5 linked regions of the Mus musculus genome follow. The protein of the gene in region 1 interacts with the protein of each later gene in a biochemical or structural test. Links are inferred from orthologs where the notes say so. Each region holds a gene or a part of one and is shown in the gene's direction. Other genes may lie near its edges.

The links. The genes of interacting proteins can lie anywhere in the genome.
Region 2: the proteins of Hsp90aa1 (region 1) and Usp19 form a complex in vitro, tested with the Homo sapiens proteins (3 studies listed by BioGRID). The link is inferred for Mus musculus from reciprocal best matches to the Homo sapiens genes HSP90AA1 and USP19.
Region 3: the proteins of Hsp90aa1 (region 1) and Cdc37 form a complex in vitro, tested with the Homo sapiens proteins (3 studies listed by BioGRID, with this or other methods). The link is inferred for Mus musculus from reciprocal best matches to the Homo sapiens genes HSP90AA1 and CDC37.
Region 4: the proteins of Hsp90aa1 (region 1) and Ptges3 form a complex in vitro, tested with the Homo sapiens proteins (10 studies listed by BioGRID). The link is inferred for Mus musculus from reciprocal best matches to the Homo sapiens genes HSP90AA1 and PTGES3.
Region 5: the proteins of Hsp90aa1 (region 1) and Ahr form a complex in vitro, tested with the Homo sapiens proteins (2 studies listed by BioGRID). The link is inferred for Mus musculus from reciprocal best matches to the Homo sapiens genes HSP90AA1 and AHR.

Annotation. Positions count from the first base shown.
Region 1 is NC_000078.6:110,690,536-110,693,395, reverse strand, and holds the end of Hsp90aa1 (heat shock protein HSP 90-alpha), read left to right. Parts: coding exon 1-84; intron 85-228; coding exon 229-376; intron 377-523; coding exon 524-792; intron 793-948; coding exon 949-1,282; intron 1,283-1,746; coding exon 1,747-1,856; 3' UTR 1,857-2,360; downstream 2,361-2,860. UniProt on the Homo sapiens protein: Molecular chaperone that promotes the maturation, structural maintenance and proper regulation of specific target proteins involved for instance in cell cycle control and signal transduction.
Region 2 is NC_000075.6:108,497,176-108,500,675, forward strand, and holds part of Usp19 (ubiquitin carboxyl-terminal hydrolase 19), read left to right. Parts: intron 1-720; coding exon 721-861; intron 862-947; coding exon 948-1,066; intron 1,067-1,266; coding exon 1,267-1,404; intron 1,405-1,504; coding exon 1,505-1,818; intron 1,819-1,919; coding exon 1,920-2,030; intron 2,031-2,118; coding exon 2,119-2,335; intron 2,336-2,416; coding exon 2,417-2,569; intron 2,570-2,674; coding exon 2,675-2,835; intron 2,836-2,915; coding exon 2,916-3,094; intron 3,095-3,500. UniProt on the Homo sapiens protein: Deubiquitinating enzyme that regulates the degradation of various proteins by removing ubiquitin moieties, thereby preventing their proteasomal degradation. Stabilizes RNF123, which promotes CDKN1B degradation and contributes to cell proliferation.
Region 3 is NC_000075.6:21,147,135-21,151,307, reverse strand, and holds the start of Cdc37 (hsp90 co-chaperone Cdc37), read left to right. Parts: upstream 1-1,373; 5' UTR 1,374-1,450; coding exon 1,451-1,552; intron 1,553-4,173. UniProt on the Homo sapiens protein: Co-chaperone that binds to numerous kinases and promotes their interaction with the Hsp90 complex, resulting in stabilization and promotion of their activity. Inhibits HSP90AA1 ATPase activity.
Region 4 is NC_000076.6:128,057,724-128,061,781, forward strand, and holds the start of Ptges3 (prostaglandin E synthase 3), read left to right. Parts: upstream 1-1,258; 5' UTR 1,259-1,561; coding exon 1,562-1,563; intron 1,564-4,058. UniProt on the Homo sapiens protein: Cytosolic prostaglandin synthase that catalyzes the oxidoreduction of prostaglandin endoperoxide H2 (PGH2) to prostaglandin E2 (PGE2).
Region 5 is NC_000078.6:35,532,190-35,536,188, reverse strand, and holds the start of Ahr (aryl hydrocarbon receptor), read left to right. Parts: upstream 1-1,199; 5' UTR 1,200-1,565; coding exon 1,566-1,627; intron 1,628-3,999. UniProt on the Homo sapiens protein: Ligand-activated transcription factor that enables cells to adapt to changing conditions by sensing compounds from the environment, diet, microbiome and cellular metabolism, and which plays important roles in development, immunity and cancer.

The DNA of each region.
Region 1 (2,860 bases):
AAATGCTTAGAACTATTTACTGAACTAGCAGAAGATAAAGAGAACTACAAAAAGTTTTATGAGCAGTTCTCAAAAAATATAAAGGTTGGTGGTACATTTTCTTGTTACTGGCAGTTTTCCAAACTAACTTGATTGGGGGAGGGGTCCTCACACACTTGCTTCTGCCTCCCAAGTGTGGGGATTAAAGGCTAATGCTTCATAAATGGCTTTCCTGTGCTTGTGCTTCAGCTTGGAATTCACGAGGACTCTCAGAATCGGAAGAAGCTTTCAGAGCTGTTGCGGTACTACACATCTGCTTCTGGGGACGAGATGGTTTCTCTGAAGGACTACTGTACCAGAATGAAGGAAAACCAGAAGCACATCTATTTTATCACAGGTAATGGTCAAGTAAACAGGTGTTTTCTCTACCTGTTGGACAGCACTTAAGGAGGCAAGAATGTCCAGCCTGTACCTAAGGGAAAGCTGAATACATGAAACCATTTCTAAAAGTAACTTAACAATATAAATATATATATTGTCTCAGGTGAGACCAAGGACCAGGTTGCTAACTCCGCCTTTGTGGAACGTCTCCGAAAGCATGGCTTAGAAGTAATTTATATGATTGAGCCCATTGATGAGTATTGTGTGCAACAGCTGAAGGAATTTGAGGGCAAGACCTTGGTGTCTGTTACCAAAGAAGGACTGGAACTTCCAGAAGATGAAGAGGAAAAGAAGAAACAGGAAGAGAAAAAGACAAAATTTGAGAACCTCTGCAAAATTATGAAAGATATTTTGGAGAAGAAGGTTGAAAAGGTATGTGAATGGTTACACATCACTCGTAGTCAGTTTGGTCCTTTTATCTGAGTTTTGACTAAATCACTGCTAATGCCTACAGTTTCAAATAATCATTTCTTTCTGGTAAGTTCTTCTATGGCCTAAGCCATCACTTAGTTTTTGTTTTAATTTTAGGTGGTTGTGTCAAACCGACTGGTGACATCCCCGTGCTGTATTGTCACAAGCACATATGGGTGGACAGCAAACATGGAGAGAATCATGAAAGCTCAAGCCCTCAGAGACAACTCAACAATGGGTTACATGGCAGCAAAGAAACACCTGGAGATAAATCCTGATCACTCCATTATTGAAACCTTAAGGCAAAAGGCAGAGGCTGACAAGAATGACAAATCTGTGAAGGATCTGGTCATCTTGCTGTATGAAACTGCACTCCTATCTTCTGGCTTCAGTCTGGAAGATCCCCAGACCCATGCTAACAGGATCTACAGGATGATCAAGCTTGGTCTAGGTAAATTACAGGCTACCTGTAACTAACATAAGGGAAAGAAACCTGTTGCAACTCCCCTTTAATCCTAGTGCTGGGGTCAGGGTGTAAAGGGACAGATAGGCCCTTTGAGTTTTAGGCCAGTGTGGCCTACAGAGTTCCAGGAAAACCAAAGCTATATATACTAACCCTGGCTTTAAAAACAAAAAAACGAAGTTGACTTTTGTAGCTATTGAAACAATTGGATTATTGCTGTTATGGAAGCCTCAGCTAAAGGGTTTGAATGAAATGAACAGTGACCTTTGTGTTTGAGGATGGCTTTGGGCTGGTTCTGCCTCTGTCCCAGTGCTGGGGTTTATAGGCACATACTTGGCTTGCCCCCTATGAATAAAGTTTCCTTTCAGGGGATTGGATGGGGTGTTAATGTCTAAAGCAAGTCTCCGCCTCCCTTAGCGGACATTAACTGTAACATTTATTTCCAAAACAAGGTATTGATGAGGATGATCCTACTGTGGATGACACCAGTGCTGCTGTAACTGAAGAAATGCCTCCCCTGGAAGGAGATGACGACACATCACGCATGGAAGAAGTAGACTAAGTCACCAGAACTATGTGTTTGCTTACCTTCATTCCTTCTGATAATATATTTTCCATGATTTTTGTTTATTTTTGTTAACATTTAAAACATCTGTGTGGCATGAAAACTAAGGGGAAGATAAAATTTCTACATGTGATACTGTGATACTATAGGTTTAACTCAAGAGGTTGATAGAGCGTTTGTTATAAGACGTAACGTAACCTACTGTTCATGTTTGCTCTGGTCTGAAGTGTTTAGCTGTTGAGCTGGATTCCTTAGGAGACCAAATTAAGATGGCTTAAATTACATCTTAAAATTTTCATTTCCTGTAGTTAATTCTGCATGTATTAGTCTTAGAAGTAAACACAAGTTAAAACAACCTGACAGGAATTCCCCAAGTGGCTTGTTTTCCAAAGTCCCGAGAACAACCCTAAGTTTCCTAGGTCTTGTAACTCAGCAAGGCTTGTGAATGGAAATAACAGTGCCCAATCACATTCTGCTTTAAAAGATAAATACAGAGGAGATAAAAAGAAGTGTGGAATGTGTCTTTTCTTTGCGCACCCCCACACACACACACACATTTGATCCATAAAAATTACACTGGTCCAGAGACTTAATCTTGTGTGTCCTATATGTGGACATCCTCTCTTCCCCAGCACACTCAGACCTTCTTGCTAGAGTGGGAATATAAAACAGCTGGTCTGTGGGGTTCTGGGATTTTGTCCTAGCACCTCTTAGATAAAGGCATGTTTGAAGACTTGGCTGGGTAGTTTGAGGCCAGCCTGAGTTCCATGAAATCCTGTCTTGGAGGCTATAAGGAAAAATAGTGGGTATTTACTATAGGGGGCAGGTAAAGAGCACTAACCAAAGCCGGGCGGTGGTGGTGCACGCCTTTAATCCCGGCAGGCGGATTTCTGAGTTCTAGGCCAGCCAGGGCCATAAGGAGAAACCAAACCAAAAAAAAGATTGGGTTGTAGGCGGCCCTATAAGACATTAATAAGTTGATGAGCTCATTGTAGGTGGTG
Region 2 (3,500 bases), on another chromosome or scaffold:
CCTTCCCAGGCTTCTGCATGTGTGGCCATGTTTGTGAGGTTGTAGTTGTTTGTGTTTTGTTCTTTTAAACATTTTTATGAGTGTTGTGTCTGCTTGTCTGCATGTATGTGTGTGTAGTATGTTATGTGCCAGGTGTCAGGTTAAGGGTGTTGAACCGCATGGAACTTGAGTTATAGACAGTTACAAGCTGCCACGTATTTGCTGAGAATGGAACCCAGATCTTTTGGAAGAATAGTCGGTGCTTGTAATACTGAGCCATTTTTCCAGTTCCACTTATGTATTCTTTTTTTCCTTTTCTTTTTTTCTTTTTCTTTTTTTCTTTTTTTTTGAGACAGAGTTTCTCTGTGCAGCCCTGGCTGTCCTTGACTCACTTTGTAGACCAGGCTGGCCTTGAACTCAGAAATCCGCCTGCCTCTGCCTCCCAAGTGCTGCACTTATGTATTTTTTTCTTCTCTGGATAAGGCGTTTGCTAGTAATCCCAGGGGTAGAGGCCCTCCGTTCCTTATGGAGGGTCAGTGAGGTTGATGCCTGCTCAGGCTTTGTCTCAGGTTCTCTAAAGTGCTTTCTGCCCCAGGGCAAGCATATTCCTCTTTTAGTCCACATATCATGTCCTGCCCCATCTCAGTAGACTCCAGTGCAGGACTAAGCCCTCCGTGGTGCCGTGAAGCAGAGCTGGAGAAAGGTCGCACCACATGCCATATGTGTGTCCTTTCTCCCCAGGTAATTAAGAACCGTTTCCACCGTGTTTTCTTGCCCTCCCACTCACTGGACGCTGTGTCCCCCACGGACGTGCTCCTCTGCTTTGAGCTGCTCTCCCCAGAACTGGCTAAGGAGCGGGTAGTAGTGCTGGAGGTGCAGCAGGTGAGTGGGGCCAGCCTGATGCCACAGGGCCCTGGTGGGGGCAGTCACTGCTGCCTGCCCTTGCTGAGCCAGATGACCCACCCTAGCGCCCCCAGGTACCCAGCATCCCTATCTCCAAGTGCGCAGCCTGCCAGCGGAAGCAGCAATCAGAAGAAGAAAAGCTGAAGCGCTGTACCCGTTGCTACCGTGTGGGCTACTGCAACCAGTGAGGAGCCCCATGGCTCTCCCCTCCTATTTTCTCTACCTGCCTTTTGCTTTCCTGTCCTTCTCAAGCCCTCCACCCACTTCTCTGTTTTATTGGGCCTTGGGGGAGGCAGGGCTGGCATACCTAGTCCCCAAGGGCATCAGACAAGTCCCTGATAATATAGTTACAGCACTCAGGGCTAACCTTTTCTTTCCCTCCAGGTTCTGCCAGAAAACCCATTGGCCTGACCACAAAGGCCTCTGCCGCCCTGAGAACATTGGCTACCCCTTCCTGGTCAGTGTGCCTGCTTCACGCCTCACTTATGCCCGTCTTGCTCAGCTACTAGAAGGTTATGCCCGGTAAGAGCCCAGAGGCTGGACTGGTATACACAGGGAGCAGGTGTTCCAAGTGTGACACCAGTGGGTCAGAGTTCTTACTTGCCTTGCTGTCTGCTGCCAGGTACTCTGTGAGTGTATTCCAACCGCCCTTCCAGCCTGGCCGCATGGCTTTGGAATCGCAGAGCCCTGGCTGTACCACGTTGCTTTCAACCAGCTCTCTGGAGGCTGGGGACAGTGAAAGAGAACCCATTCAGCCTTCTGAGCTCCAGCTGGTGACCCCTGTGGCTGAAGGGGATACAGGGGCTCACCGAGTATGGCCGCCTGCTGATAGGGGTCCTGTGCCTAGCACCAGTGGACTCTCTTCTGAGATGCTGGCCAGTGGGCCTATCGAAGGTTGTCCCTTGCTTGCTGGTGAGAGGGTATCTCGGCCTGAAGGTAGGATCTGCTAAAATGCTTTGGGTACTGCACTGAAGTGTTGGGAAGGCTGTTCCCACCAGAGTGGACAGGTGAGCACTGATGAGTGTGCTTTGTCTTAGCTGCTGTGCCTGGGTACCAACACTCAAGTGAATCTGTGAATACCCACACGCCCCAGTTCTTCATCTATAAAATTGATGCATCAAACCGTGAGCAGCGGCTGGAGGACAAAGGTGCCTGATGCTGTGGGTGGGAGTCATAGGGTAGCTTGTACCACCTGCTCTGCGCAGCTATGTGACCATGGTCCCTGCTTCTCTCTAGGGGAGACACCATTGGAGCTAGGTGATGACTGTAGCCTGGCTCTGGTGTGGCGGAACAATGAACGCCTGCAGGAGTTTGTGTTGGTAGCCTCCAAGGAGCTGGAATGTGCTGAAGATCCAGGCTCTGCTGGTGAGGCTGCCCGTGCTGGCCACTTCACCCTGGACCAGTGCCTCAACCTCTTTACACGGCCTGAAGTGCTGGCACCTGAGGAGGCCTGGTGAGGATTGGGCAGCAAGCAGGTAGTTGACCATGGTGGAGGGAAACTTGCTGCTTCTGACTCCTCCTCTGTCGCTCACAGGTACTGCCCACAGTGCAAACAGCATCGTGAGGCCTCCAAACAGCTGCTGTTGTGGCGCCTACCGAACGTGCTGATTGTGCAGCTCAAGCGCTTCTCCTTTCGTAGTTTCATTTGGCGAGACAAGATCAATGACTTGGTGGAGTTTCCTGTTCGGTGAGCAATGAGTGAGGCCTGCTGACTGTGGACAGGGCACAGGTATCGGGGCAGCCTGGGCTCCCGCCAACTAACTGCCTCACCCTTCTCTGACTGGGACTACAGGAACCTGGACTTGAGCAAGTTCTGTATCGGTCAGAAAGAGGAGCAGCTGCCTAGCTATGACCTGTATGCTGTCATCAACCACTACGGAGGCATGATCGGTGGCCACTATACTGCTTGTGCACGGCTGCCCAATGATCGCAGTAGCCAGCGCAGTGACGTGGGTGAGGGCACACACAGCCAGCAGGATAGGTGGTAGGGTGGTGGTCCAGGCCGTGTTCATACTCTTCCCACCCTGCTCTAGGCTGGCGCTTGTTTGATGACAGCACGGTGACAACAGTAGACGAAAGCCAGGTCGTGACGCGCTATGCCTATGTTCTCTTCTACCGTCGTCGGAACTCTCCTGTGGAGAGACCCCCCAGGGCAAGTCACTCTGAACACCACCCAGACCTAGGCCCTGCAGCTGAGGCTGCTGCCAGCCAGGTGAGGCATTGGGGAGGCCTAACAGGTTAGTTGGGGGACAGAGTTGGGGCCTTCAGGTCTACAGAATTTATAGACTGGGTTCTTCGACATTCAGGTCTCACCCAGAGACATCCTGGAAGATAGCCTAGGGACACAGTCAAAGGTGTACATATATATAAACACGATGCCACCAGTGTGCACAAAAGAATAGGTCAAAGACTTACCCTGAGCACACCAGGCACCGTGCTTTATACAGACTTAACCCTGTTGTCCCCTGGCTCTCCCTCATAGTCTCCATATGCTGGCCTCGAGCCCATCGTTTGTGGTCACCCTCCTGTTCTGATGTGTATTTGAGATATTCCCTATCAGAGATGGCTGCTGCCTGGATTGGCTGTCACACTCTCTGTGGTGAACAAATGTCCCTACT
Region 3 (4,173 bases), on another chromosome or scaffold:
CAAACAAACAAACAAACAAACAAATAAATATTTTTTAAAATTTAAGGGCAGATCTGGTGTAGTGGGGCACACCTTTAGCCCCAGCACTGGGGAGAAGAGGTAGAAAGATCTGTTAGTTTGAAGTCAGCCTGGTCTACATAGTGAATTCCAAGACAGCCAGAGCTGTCTTATATACAGTGAGACTCTGGTGGGGGTGGGGGTGGGGTGGGAATTAAGGGCAAACATGATTAAAAAAAACAAATTGTATATTAATGTTTTGTCTGCAAGTATATCTGTCCACCACATGCATGCCTGGTGTAGTCAAAGGCCAAATGGGGACATAATATATATATCCTGGGTTGGACTTACAGATGGGTGTGAGTGGCCATGTAGGTGTTGGGAACAGAATCCGGGTGCTCTGGAAGACCAGCCAGTCTCCAAACTATTGAGCCAACTTTCCAGCCTCAATTTTGACTTTTTTTTTTCCATTTTTTATTAGGTATTTAGCTCATTTACATTTCCAATGCTATACCAAAAGTCCCCCATACCCACCCACCCCCACTCCCCTACCCACCCACTCCCCCTTTTTGGCCCTGGCGTTCCCCTGTACTGGGGCATATAAAGTTTGCGTGTCCAATGGGCCTCTCTTTCCAGTGATGGCCGACTAGGCCATCTTTTGATACATATGCAGCTAGAATCAAGAGCTCCGGGGTACTGGTTAGTTCATAATGTTGTTCCACCTATAGGGTTGCAGATCCCTTTAGCTCCTTGGGTACTTTCTCTAGCTCCTCTATTGGGAGCCCTGTGATCCATCCATTAGCTGGCTGTGAGCATCCACTTCTGTGTTTGCTAGGCCCCGGCATAGTCTCACAAGAGACAGCTACATCTGGGTCCTTTCGATAAAATCTTGCTAGTGTATGCAATGTTGACTTTTTTTTTTTAGAGTGTTGTTTGTATAACAACCCTGACCGTCCCTAAAATTACTCTGTAGGCTAGGCTGGCCTCGATCCGCCGGCCTCTGCCTCCGGAGTACTGGCATAGCGCCACTACCGCCCAGCCAATTTTGACTTTTTGACAGTGTCAATATGTAGCCCTGGCTGGACTAGAACTCCTGGAGAGCCACCTGCTTTTGCCTCTAGCGTACTTGGATTACCGTGGGCCACCACGCCCAACGCGACTAACCTTTTGTTTCTAAAGGATGGTCAGTCTGGTTTCGGCGGGAACTTCCAGAAGGCCTCACCACATACTCCTGGCCCTTTAAAGAAGACCTCCGGTTGCCAATGCCGCCGACTCCCGTTGCTAAGGACGTAACGTCCCGCGCCGACGCTGGGGCGGGGCCGTCCTGCGCGGCGCCCTGGGCGGAAGCGGAAGGGGCGGGGCTCGCCGAGCGGACTCTCTAGCCCTTGTGGGTCCCTGTTCAGCGCCCGGCCGTGTGGAGCCCCGGGAGCCAGTCCGGGCCTCCGAAGCGAAGATGGTGGACTACAGCGTTTGGGATCACATCGAGGTGTCGGACGATGAGGACGAGACGCACCCCAACATAGACACTGCCAGCCTCTTCCGCTGGCGGCACCAGGTGGGGCTGTGCGCGCTCATCCCCTTCCCCCCCACTCCCGGGACCCCCCGCTCTAGAGTTCTGACCTCTTCCCCAGGCCACCTGGCGTGGGGGCGGGGGAGACCTTAGTTATTGACATCTGGAGCCGCCTGCTCCACAATCTAGACTTTTCTCTTTCTTTTCTTTTCTTTTTCTTTTTTTTTTTTTTTGAAACAAAATTTCACTGTGTAACCTTCCCTGGCCTAGAACTTGCTGTGTAGAACAGGCTGGTTTCTAACTCACAGTGATCCTCCTGCCTCTGCCTTCCCAGTACTGGGATTAGAGACATGTGCCTTCATGCAGGGCCGGACTTTTTAATTCCATCCCAGGACTCCTGGCTTCTTCACCGTAATTCTTGACCTGTATCTCCAGGCGTTCTCTCTGTGCTATGGTTCTCTTCTGTTTGTAAGTTTATTTATTGTGTGTGTTCCCGTGTGCACGTGGCACAGCATGCCTATGGTGATCACAGGATAACTTGTAGAAGTTGGGCCTCTCTTTTCACCATGTTGGAACTGGCTGTGGAACTCCAGTCGCCCCACGTTGCCACAAGCACCTTTACACTCTGAGCCATTTTATCAGTTGGTAATACTTTAGTCAGAGTCTTGCCTCTCCCCATCCCCAAGCTGACCCTTGTGTGTAGGGTCCCCACTATCCTGTGCAGAACCTTCTGTTCTTCCTCAGAGTCTGGACCCCAGGTTCTGTTAGGTGATCTCATAGCCCAGCCACGCACCCACTTCATATTGCACGTCTCCCTTCTGCCTCTCCTCACTACTTAGAGTCTGGAGCCACAAAACTTCTGACTATGGCATCTATTTCCCAGGATCTTAGGCATGAATTTCTATTAAAGGCCCAGAGACGACCCCCTCCCCCCCCAACTTCCAAACTAAATGAGCCCTTAATTTAACTGTCAATCTTAGCTTGCAGCTGGGATTCCCCAGTCCAGGATCCCTTTCCCTGGGTTATAGACTTGAGTCCCACATGGGACATACCTGTAGAGCCCCCTTATCCTCTGTATTTGACCTCCATCTCCACTCTTGCCCATCATTCAGTTCCAGTGGCTCTCCTTATTCTCACCTCCTGTAGACTCTTATTTCCTGTTACTCCAGGAAACCCCACCCACCTAACTTCCTGTTAGAACCTCTGCTCCTTCTAGTATAGTAAGTAGACCCTCTCCTTCCCACCTTGGCTCCTATATGAACTGTAGCCATCTTTGAAAATTCACCAAACCAGGAGCCAGATGATGATGACACACATTTTTAATCCTAGCTCTCAGGGGGCAGAGGCAGGCAGGCCTGTGAGTTCAAGGCCAACCTGGTCTACAGAGAGTTCTACAGCTAGCTAGGGCTACACAGAGAAACCCTGTCTGGAGGGATGGGGCCGGGAGTCGGGTAGGATAAAGAGAGGGGGGAGGGGAGGAAGAGAAAGAAAAGACAGCTCACCAACCCAGAAAACCAAGCCTGTCCTGTCCTACCTGCCCGTTCCCTCCAGCTTCATCTGTCTCTCTCCAGGGTTCAGAGCATCCTAGTTAACTCTGGACCTCCCAGATAATGTTCCCACATAACCTTACTTTCTGAGCATGGTAGCACACCTGTAAACTCAGGTCTTAGGAGGAGGACGAGGAAGGAGGATCTGGGATTCAGAGTCAGTCCTCGATATAGGGCAAATTCTAGGCTAGCCTGGACTACATGAGACAATATCAAAAACCAAATGGGCTGGAGTTCAGTTGTATGGCATTGCCTTGGGCTCCATCTCTAGCACTGCTTAAAAACTAGCCATGGTGGGGCAGGCCTGTAGTCTGAGCACTGGGGAGAGGGAAGCAGGAGGGTCAGAAGTTCAAAGTCGTCAGCCACGGTAAGTGTGAGGCTGGCACAGGCTACAGGGGATCCTGTCAACCACCAAGCAAATAAAATACAGTCCTCTGCAGTTTTACATCTCTCCAAAACAGACGCCCCAGATTGAGACCTTAGAACCCCAAGTGTGAGCAAGCCATGCTCTTGCCCCTCCCTTGTGCCATCATTACCTGCAGGCCTGTAGCATACTACCAAGATGTGAGGGTGGCCTGGATGTGTGGTTCAGTGGTAGAGTACTTCTCTAGCGTGCAAGAGGTACTGGGTTCCAACTCTGTCGCAGCAGTAAAGAGACAATGGCCTAACCTGCTCCCCAAATTAAAACTTCTATACCCATATACCTGTGTGTCTTATACTCTTTGTTTAAGTTACATCTTAATTTTTTTGTGTGTGTTAATTCTTATGTATGTGTGCCGAGGTATCCTTGTGGCAGTCAAAGGATAACTTGATAGAGTCCACTTTCTCCTTACATGTGGGTTCTTGGGATCAAACTCAAGTCATCAGGCTTGGTAGCAGGCCTTTTCCCACTGAGTCCTCTCATTGGCCCCTGTGCTTGTTATACTCTCAAGCTGAGGGCAGGTACTTTCCATTTAGGAATTTTGCATCTCACCTTCTTGGGGAAAACTTCTCATTACTCCTAGAAAGTCCTTCCCCATCCTCCCCAAATCCAGCATTCGGCTCCCAGTCCCACCCACACACCTATTCCTTCCAGTTTCCTGGGAAGACCACCTGCCAGGCAGCAGTGTGTGGCAGCAG
Region 4 (4,058 bases), on another chromosome or scaffold:
TCGAATTTTGAGGGAACTGGAGTTAATGGTTCAGCAGTCAGAACACTGGGTGCTCTTAAAGACATAGGTTCTATTCCCAGAACCTACATGGTTCACATGATCTAGTTTCAAAGGATCTCAGGCCCTATTTTTGACCTCTGTGTGGGAATCAGGCACACACACGGTACACATACATAATTGTTGACAGAATACTTACATCACCTCGGGAAAAAATGGAAATTTGAAACAGGGAAGTTGCCCACACTACCAAGTTGTCCCAGCTCCTTCAGCTGAGATTACAAGCCTGTGACACTACACCAGACTAATTTTCATTTCCCTGACAGGTGGTAAAGTTCTTAACATCAGGCAATTGGATCTGGACTATACAGCCAACATCACCAATTAGTCTGCACTGACATCAATATCAAAAGAAAAAAGCCTGTAATACCAGCACATAAGAGACTGAAGCAGGATTACTCTAAAAACCTGATGTCCTAATAGTGGCTCATTGGTCTACCTCTGCCCTAATCCGTCAGTTTTTGATAAGCAGAGATTGTTCTTGGCTACTAACCCCATTTAACCCAGGGCATTGTATACAAAACCAGTCAAAGGATTTTCAAATAGATCCTTAACCACCTCATCTGAACTCACGCAAGGAGACAGCGAATTAATCTAGAAACTTCCCTCCTCGCCTCCCCCAGGGCGCCAATGTCTCCAAGCAGGGGGGAGAGGCGCGCCCCTAAAGGCAAAGAGGCAAAAGCAGCTCCTCCGCTAAAGGAGCCCAGGCGGGATCCGGACAATCAGAAAAACAGCGAGTGGTCCAGGCTTTAAGGACGAAGCCGTTTTTCCACGGATGCAACCGGCGTTGCCGGGCGTGGTGGCTTTGGCACAGGACTGCAATCCCGGACTCGGGCGACTGAACTCGAGGCCAACCTGGGTTTGCGGCAGGCACCCCTGTCTAAGACAAAACAATCCCCACACATCGCCTTGGGGTCTGCTGTATACGCCGCAGCGTCCCACCGCCTTCCAGGGCGGCCCCTACGTCTCTCGGGGAGATCGCCCGCGAGCGTGCTCAGGCGGTTGGCGGCCAACGGCTTGCTAACGCGAGACCGGAGCCCGGGAAGACAGGCGCGAACGGGGCAGCCGGAGGGTCGAGGGGAGGGGCGGGCGCGGGAAGGATCGCGAAGGAGCCGGGAGGCCCCGCCCCTTCCGTAGAGATCTCTAGAAAACCGCGCAGAGCCTGGAAACGGCGATTGCGCACGCGCGGCGGCCGGCCCGGGCATTTTGCTGCGTCACCAGCCGCCGCCCGGCCTCGCCACCCCTCGCGCGCACGCACGCTCCTTCTCCGTCCTCGCGCCCCTTTTCCTACACTTTCCTTCTCTCCCGGGTTGAGGGAGCCGCTCTCCGCGCGGTGCATTCTGGGCATCGAGGCCGAGCCCGCCGCCGCCGTCGCCTAAGAGGAGCGAGGAGAGGCCGCGACCGGGCAGAGACCGCCGGAGTCGCCGCCGGAGAGGAGTCGACTCGCCAGCCGCCGCCAGCGAGGCCCGCCCACCCGTTTGTCTGGCCCTCTGCCCCGTTCACCATGTGAGTGCGACATCCCGCCGACGGAAGGTCGTCCCGGAGCGGAGCGAGGCCGCGCCGGGAGCCCCGGCTGCCGGGAAACGGCCCCTCGCCCTCCCCCCACCCTCGGCCCTTCGCCTTTCTCCCCGCCCGCGCTGGTGGCAGCCCTGCCGTGGGGTGGGAGGGCCTGCATCCTTGTTCCTGTTACCGTTGGAGGACATTTTTCCTCCAGATGTCCGTTTCCCCACCTCCAGATCGACCCCCGGATTCCTCGTGCCAGAAATCCCACTTTTCTTCCCTAGACAGCCTGGCTCTCTCGGAACTCTGGGAACTTAGCCTTAGGCCCTAAACTCGTGTGTGAGCTTTCCGCCATGAGGGCGCCGGGAGCCGTGGAGTCCTGCCGCTCGGTGCTGATGCCCGGACCCGGCAGGACCGGGCTGAGAGCATTTGTGGGTGCCGCCGTAAGCCGGTGCTACCGGTAGGGCACCACGCGGCCCTCGGCGGCAGGCACTGCTAGGCAACTAGAGGGGGCCATGCCGTCACCACAACGAAACTTCCCGTTCCCACATCTCGGGTCTCTTGAAAATGGTGAACGCTAGCAAATGCGGTCACCTCCTTGGCAGCGAGTAATAGTTACTATGGAGCAGGTAGTTCTGCACGTGTCTAGTCACAAGATACTTGTGGACTCTTTTCTTCTCTGTACCTCAATAAACTTTGGGTGGCATTTCGTCATGCTCTTTGTATGCGGAGGTGAAACAGGTATAAAATGACCATCTCACTTGCCTGAAGGTCTTAATTTGTTTATATGGAGGTTACAGATTCTTTTAATCTAAGAATTTTTGCCCTTATTTTTCTAGCCTGGACAACTTTCAAATATGAGAGAATTGAATTACAGTACTTGAGGGTGGTGTGGGTGGCTGCTATGCACAGCACTAAAAGTTACGGATTGTAGTTGAAAAAAAAAGTTTAACGATTGTACAAGTTTAAGTTTTAACTGCTTGCTTGAATGGCTAAAAATCTAAATTGATAGACGATGTCCTAGAGCCAATTAGTGGCTGAGAAACAGGTCCTAGAAGAAGACCATGTAGTACTAGAAAATGTGTAAAGAAATTTGGAGGAGTCCCCCATAAAAACAAAGATATGTAGCAGGTTTTACATTTTAGTGTTTCATTATAGTAATTTTATTCATGTGTGTGCCCTCCCCCCACCCCCTCGTGTTCCTGGAGGTAAGAGGACAGTCTGTGGGGAAACAATTTAAGTTGTCAGGTAGAGAAACGGAGAGCCTTCACTTGCTTAGCCATCTCACCAGCATGGATTTAAATTTTACCTTTGAGATGTTAAGAAAAAGCTCTTGTGTGTGACTGACCTGTATTCTGATGTCATGTTGGCTTCTTAGGACAAGTTTATGTAAAAACTTTTTGATATTTTCCAAACTGTACGGGGAAAATGAATTGCTAGGTAAAACATAATCAATTTAGTAGATAAACATAGCCAAACGAAACATCTTTTCATCCAGAAGTAGCAATTTAGGAGGTAGAGAGACTGCGCAGTGATTAACAGCACTGGCTACCCTTGCTGAGAACCCAAGTTCTATTACCAGAACCAACTGCCTGCTGAGAGCAGAGGTGTTAGTTCTGAATCTGGAGTTAGAGGCAGTTGTGAGCCACCCTGCTTGGGTGCTCTTGTAGAAGCAAGAGCAGTGTGGTGTGGATGTTTTGTCTGTATGTTTGTGTATCATCTGCACTGCTAGAGGCCAGGCCTGAAGAGAATGTTGGATACCCTGGAGCTAGAGGTTTGTGAATCACCATGTGGGTGCTGGGGCTAGAACCCTGGGTCCTCTGGAAGAGCAGCCAGCGCTTTTAACCCTTGAGCCATCTTTCCAACCTTTGTGTGTGTGGGTGCTCTTGTTTGTTTTTGTCTGTTTTGATTTTTAGGTTTTTTTTTTTTTTTTGGTTTTTTGAGACAGGGTTTCTCTGTGTAGACCAGGCTGGCCTTGAACTCAGAAATCCGCCTGCCCCCTGAGTGCTGGGAATAAAGGCGTGCACCACCACGCCCAGCTTTTTTTTTTTTTTTTTTTTTGAGACAAGTTCTCCCTGTGTAGCTCTGGCTATCCTGGAACTTGGGCTGGAGATACACCTGCCTCTGCCTCCCTGAGTTCTAGGATTAAAGGTGTACAACTCCTGATCCTATTACCTTCTTTAAAGGGATTGTTTTTTGAGAAAGCGTCTATGCTGCCCTAGGTGGCCTAACCTCCCAATATGTGGGAGGATCCCCCTTGAACTCCTACTCTTTCCCTCCACTTCCTAATTATTTGGGATTATAGGTGAACCCAATAGGATTATATATTGGGATTATATAAGATCAAGGCCAGATAGGTCTATATAGTGTGCACACATCTCATTTATTTTTGTTTTTTGTGATGAGGTTTCTGTGTGGACCAGGTTTGCACCATTGTGCACATTTTGAAGAGGTCAGATACCTGGTCTTTTTAAAATGGTCATTCTACAGGGTTAAAGAGG
Region 5 (3,999 bases), about 75 Mb from region 1:
AGTTCCACAGTGGCTGGACCAGTTTACAACCACCCACAGTGATGCGGGTTCTTCTTCCTCCACAGCCTGGGCACCATTTGTTGTTCTTAGTTTTCTCGCTATCCTTTTCCTTGCTGTTGTGTATCCTCTCTTCTGATCTCTTTCTCAAATCTATAAAACACATCAGACTTCATCTCTATCTCTTCATGTCCAGCATCACCTACCTGACTCCCAAAATTCACTTCTCTGCCTCTATTCTTTGGTGGTTAACAGCGACCTTCCCTCTTCCTTTATCATCTCTGCTGTCTCTTTTCTCTCATCCCCATGGCTGTGCCATTGGTCTTGCAGCTGGTCGATTTCATCAATTTCCCAGCGATTCTCTCTTCCATCTGTTTTGTTCCTGAGTAACAGAATTTCCACCTTTTCCCACAGTGACTTTCCCAAGAAAGATGGAACATCATCTTCCAAATTACGCCTTTAAAAGCTCTCTGTTGTCTGCAGAATGAGACCCAATTTCTTCATTAAATCTTTATGATTTGTTCCTAGATTATCTTTTTTTTTTTTTTTCTTTTTCCTCCCATCAGCTCTACCGTACTACTAACAGAAACTCAGGTCTCTGGTCATAGTCTCAGTACCTACCCTCCAATTTCTCATGCTCTCAGCACTCCTGTGCTTCTTTCCTTCTCATCTTCCTGAAGTCTGATGGAGGAAACGATGTTTTATTGTCTTCTGTAGACATAAAATAAATGTGGGAGGGAAAAGGATTATAAAACTCGTAGCCTTCAAGACAACTAACTTTGCAGGGCATTTTTGAAGTTTTCCCCTTAGAATGCTCTCCAGTCGCAGTTATTTATCTACCAGCTCAATGTAAAATCTTTGTCAAAAATTAGATGACTCAACTCTAGGATGAGCTAAGCTCTTTGCCTGGTAAATCTTGATGTCTGGGTTACAAGGAATTTGCCTAGGCATAATGTGGCCTCACACCCCTTTTGAGGCTGGAAAACAGGTACTGGGCGAACACCACCCCACCCCCAGAACCTCGGACTGCAAGAAGTGTTGGGAGTCACTACGTCCTGCGTCATCACGTGCTGCGAAGAGGGTGGGGCCCTCCTGGGAACCGTGAGGGGCGGGGCCGAGCAGGTGGGGCGGGGCTGGAGCCCGGGGCGGAGCTGCGCGGGGTCGCGGCTGCGGAGGAGCGGGCTCGCGGCGGGCGGCAGCGTGTGTGTGCGCTCCCTTTGACGCTCGGTGCCCCACGCGTGTCCCGGAGAGGCTCAGCCCGGAGCGACCCGGAGGACGAACTGGTGGACGGACTCGGGGGTGGCTGCCAGGCAGGGTTGTGAGCGACGCCGCGGCACAGCGCGGGAGCCGGGAAGCCCTAGAGCACTGCGGCCCCTCCTGACCCTCGGGACCGGGCGCGGCTAGCGTGCGGGTTTCTCCTCCGCGGCCAGCTCGGGCAGCCCGAGTCTCCTCTGTCGCCCGCACCTGCGCGTCGCGGTCGTCCCGCCCTCGGCGGCGGCTCACCTGGGCGCAGCGCGGGCAGGGCGCCGCCTCCGGGACGCAGGTGGAGCGGGCAGGGCGCGGGCACCATGAGCAGCGGCGCCAACATCACCTATGCCAGCCGCAAGCGGCGCAAGCCGGTGCAGAAAACGTGAGTGACGGCGGGCAGGCGCGCTCCGAGGGTGCGGGAGGTCCCCACGCGTGCCGCCATCCAGGAGCTGAGTCTCAACCAATGCGTTAAAAAAAAAAAAATCCTGCTTTCAGGCACCTGCACCTTTACTGCTCAGCGACCTTCCCTGGCTGGTTCGTTGACAGCTCTGACCTACCTAGTGCCGCTCTAGCTTAGTTAGTTAAGCTTGCCTGGAAATCCTCCACTCTAGATCTCCGCTGCCGTGAGCTTTAGGGGACACGGAGGATAAGTAGACAGCTCACTGAGGTGAGATGTTGGGCAGAGCTAAACACGTGTTGTCTTGAAGGAGGGGACCTGTGCCTTTGAAGGAATGTCTTTCTGTTCTTAGCGCCTAGCTTTCTGTTTTGCTCTCTCATTTACTTCCTAGGCAGCAGTTCTGCAGGGCTCGGTGTAGGCGCAGAATTGATAGCAGGTTGGAGTGTGCAGTGGACAGGTGCCCTGGCAGCTTGGTGGCATTCTTAGCCACTCTTTGGTGCAGTTTTCTTCCTCCTTTTGGAGTGCTTTTGGGTCTGTAAAATTTTAAATCATTAAGAAGAGGAAAAAGAACTAGACTGACTTCTAAGTTATTTCTACTCTCTACCTGTAGTTCATTTCCCCTTGCTTTTTTTTTTTTTTTTTTTTTTTTTTTTTTTTTTTTTTTGCCAATTCTGACAGAGATTACAGGCTTTGGTCTTTATTTCCATGGGCTATTTGTATGAGATGGGAGATTTTTTTTCCCCCCTCAGAAAAGAGATTCATGATTGAGACAGGGTTCCATTTAGGAGTTGTCTGTATTGATGCATTCATTCATAATTACCTTGGAGTTTCCACATCTCACCATTTGTTATTTTTTTAAAAAAATAAATTATTTTAGGAACACTTTCAGGCAATCAGTAGTGTGTGTTTTGCTTGAAACATGACAGCTATCACCAAGTGAACCAAAAAAAGAAAACAAAAACAACAAAAAAACCAACTTAAGATTTATACACTGTTTACAAATAGTTACTAGCTTAGAAGTTGGGTTATTTGTGGATTTTAATTCCCCTTAAGAATTTCAACTGTCCTAGTTCCTCAAATCTTGACTTACAAATTAATATTGAGAGGAGATGTCCATGTGTAAATAGTTTGATCAGAATTTGGAAGTTTTATGGTTGGTACACTTTAAAGGACGCAAATGTCGTTGACTCAGCAGTTTTCTACCCCGGCAGTTCTTTGGACCCTGGCTTTCAGTGCTTTAGTATTTTGTAGGACGGTTTCTTTTTGTTAAAACATGTTTGCTCAATTTGACTTTGTTCCTGGCAGTTACAGTTTCCGAGGCTTTCAAGTGCTTGTTCCCTGTTTTCATTAATAGTAATACTAACTCAGTATGAGATGAAAAATCTCAGGTATTATGTACATGGGCATAAAACTTGGAGCTCCGCTTGAGTGTCTAAGTCTAAGTAACTGATTTTCCTTATGTTATTTAAGGACATAAACTGCTTTCTATACAAAGGTCACCATCTTAAATGTTATTCATTATAACGGCGAGTGCTCTTAGTTTCTAGTTAATATAGAGAGCTTCCTTTTTAACACGACAACACTTCCTTTTAGATTAAGTTACACCTTTTATTATATTGTCTCACTATTTGCATTTGATAATTTCGGACAACTAAACTGTTGTCCCCACGAACTTATATTTTATTTTATTTGGTCCTTGACTTCTGTTTATCAGATCTGTACTGAACACCTTTAATCAACTCTGAGCCTTCAAATGCCTTAAAGGTCACCAGCTTGCTTTGTCGAAGACTTTAGTGCTGGCACTTAGGTCCTTTAGTGAAAGTACTTACGTTGTCCCCCCTGAACAGAAAATAGTGAGCTGTATAATCACATAATCAAAGTTCACCCTTAACAACCAGGTCACCAAGCTTTAGTATGAGTCTTTAAGTTAAACTACTTAGCCTGTGTGCAATGAGGCCCCAAATACCTCAATTTCAGGAAAAAACACAAGTGTTGACTGTGCTTTCTAATTTAATTAACTTGTACCCTTTAAGGTATAGCTGTTTTATACGGAGCATACCCATTGTAATTCTAGTGTCGAAAAATGTCATATTTAAATATACAGTTCCGTGAAAATTTGGAGTAAAGTGGGTGACATGATTTTAACCCGAAGTTCTTTCAGTCTTCAAATGAGGATCTAGATGCAAAATAAGCCCCCTCTAGTGGCCGGTCCCACCATGACAGTTATCTGTAGAAGGAAATCAGTTTGAAATGTGTTCAATTCCATCCAAGGACAGTGTTTTGTATACACTACACTGTGAATAGCTGTTTCCTCCTTCTTCAGTGCAATGAAAGTTAGGAAATTAAGAGATCCTAAG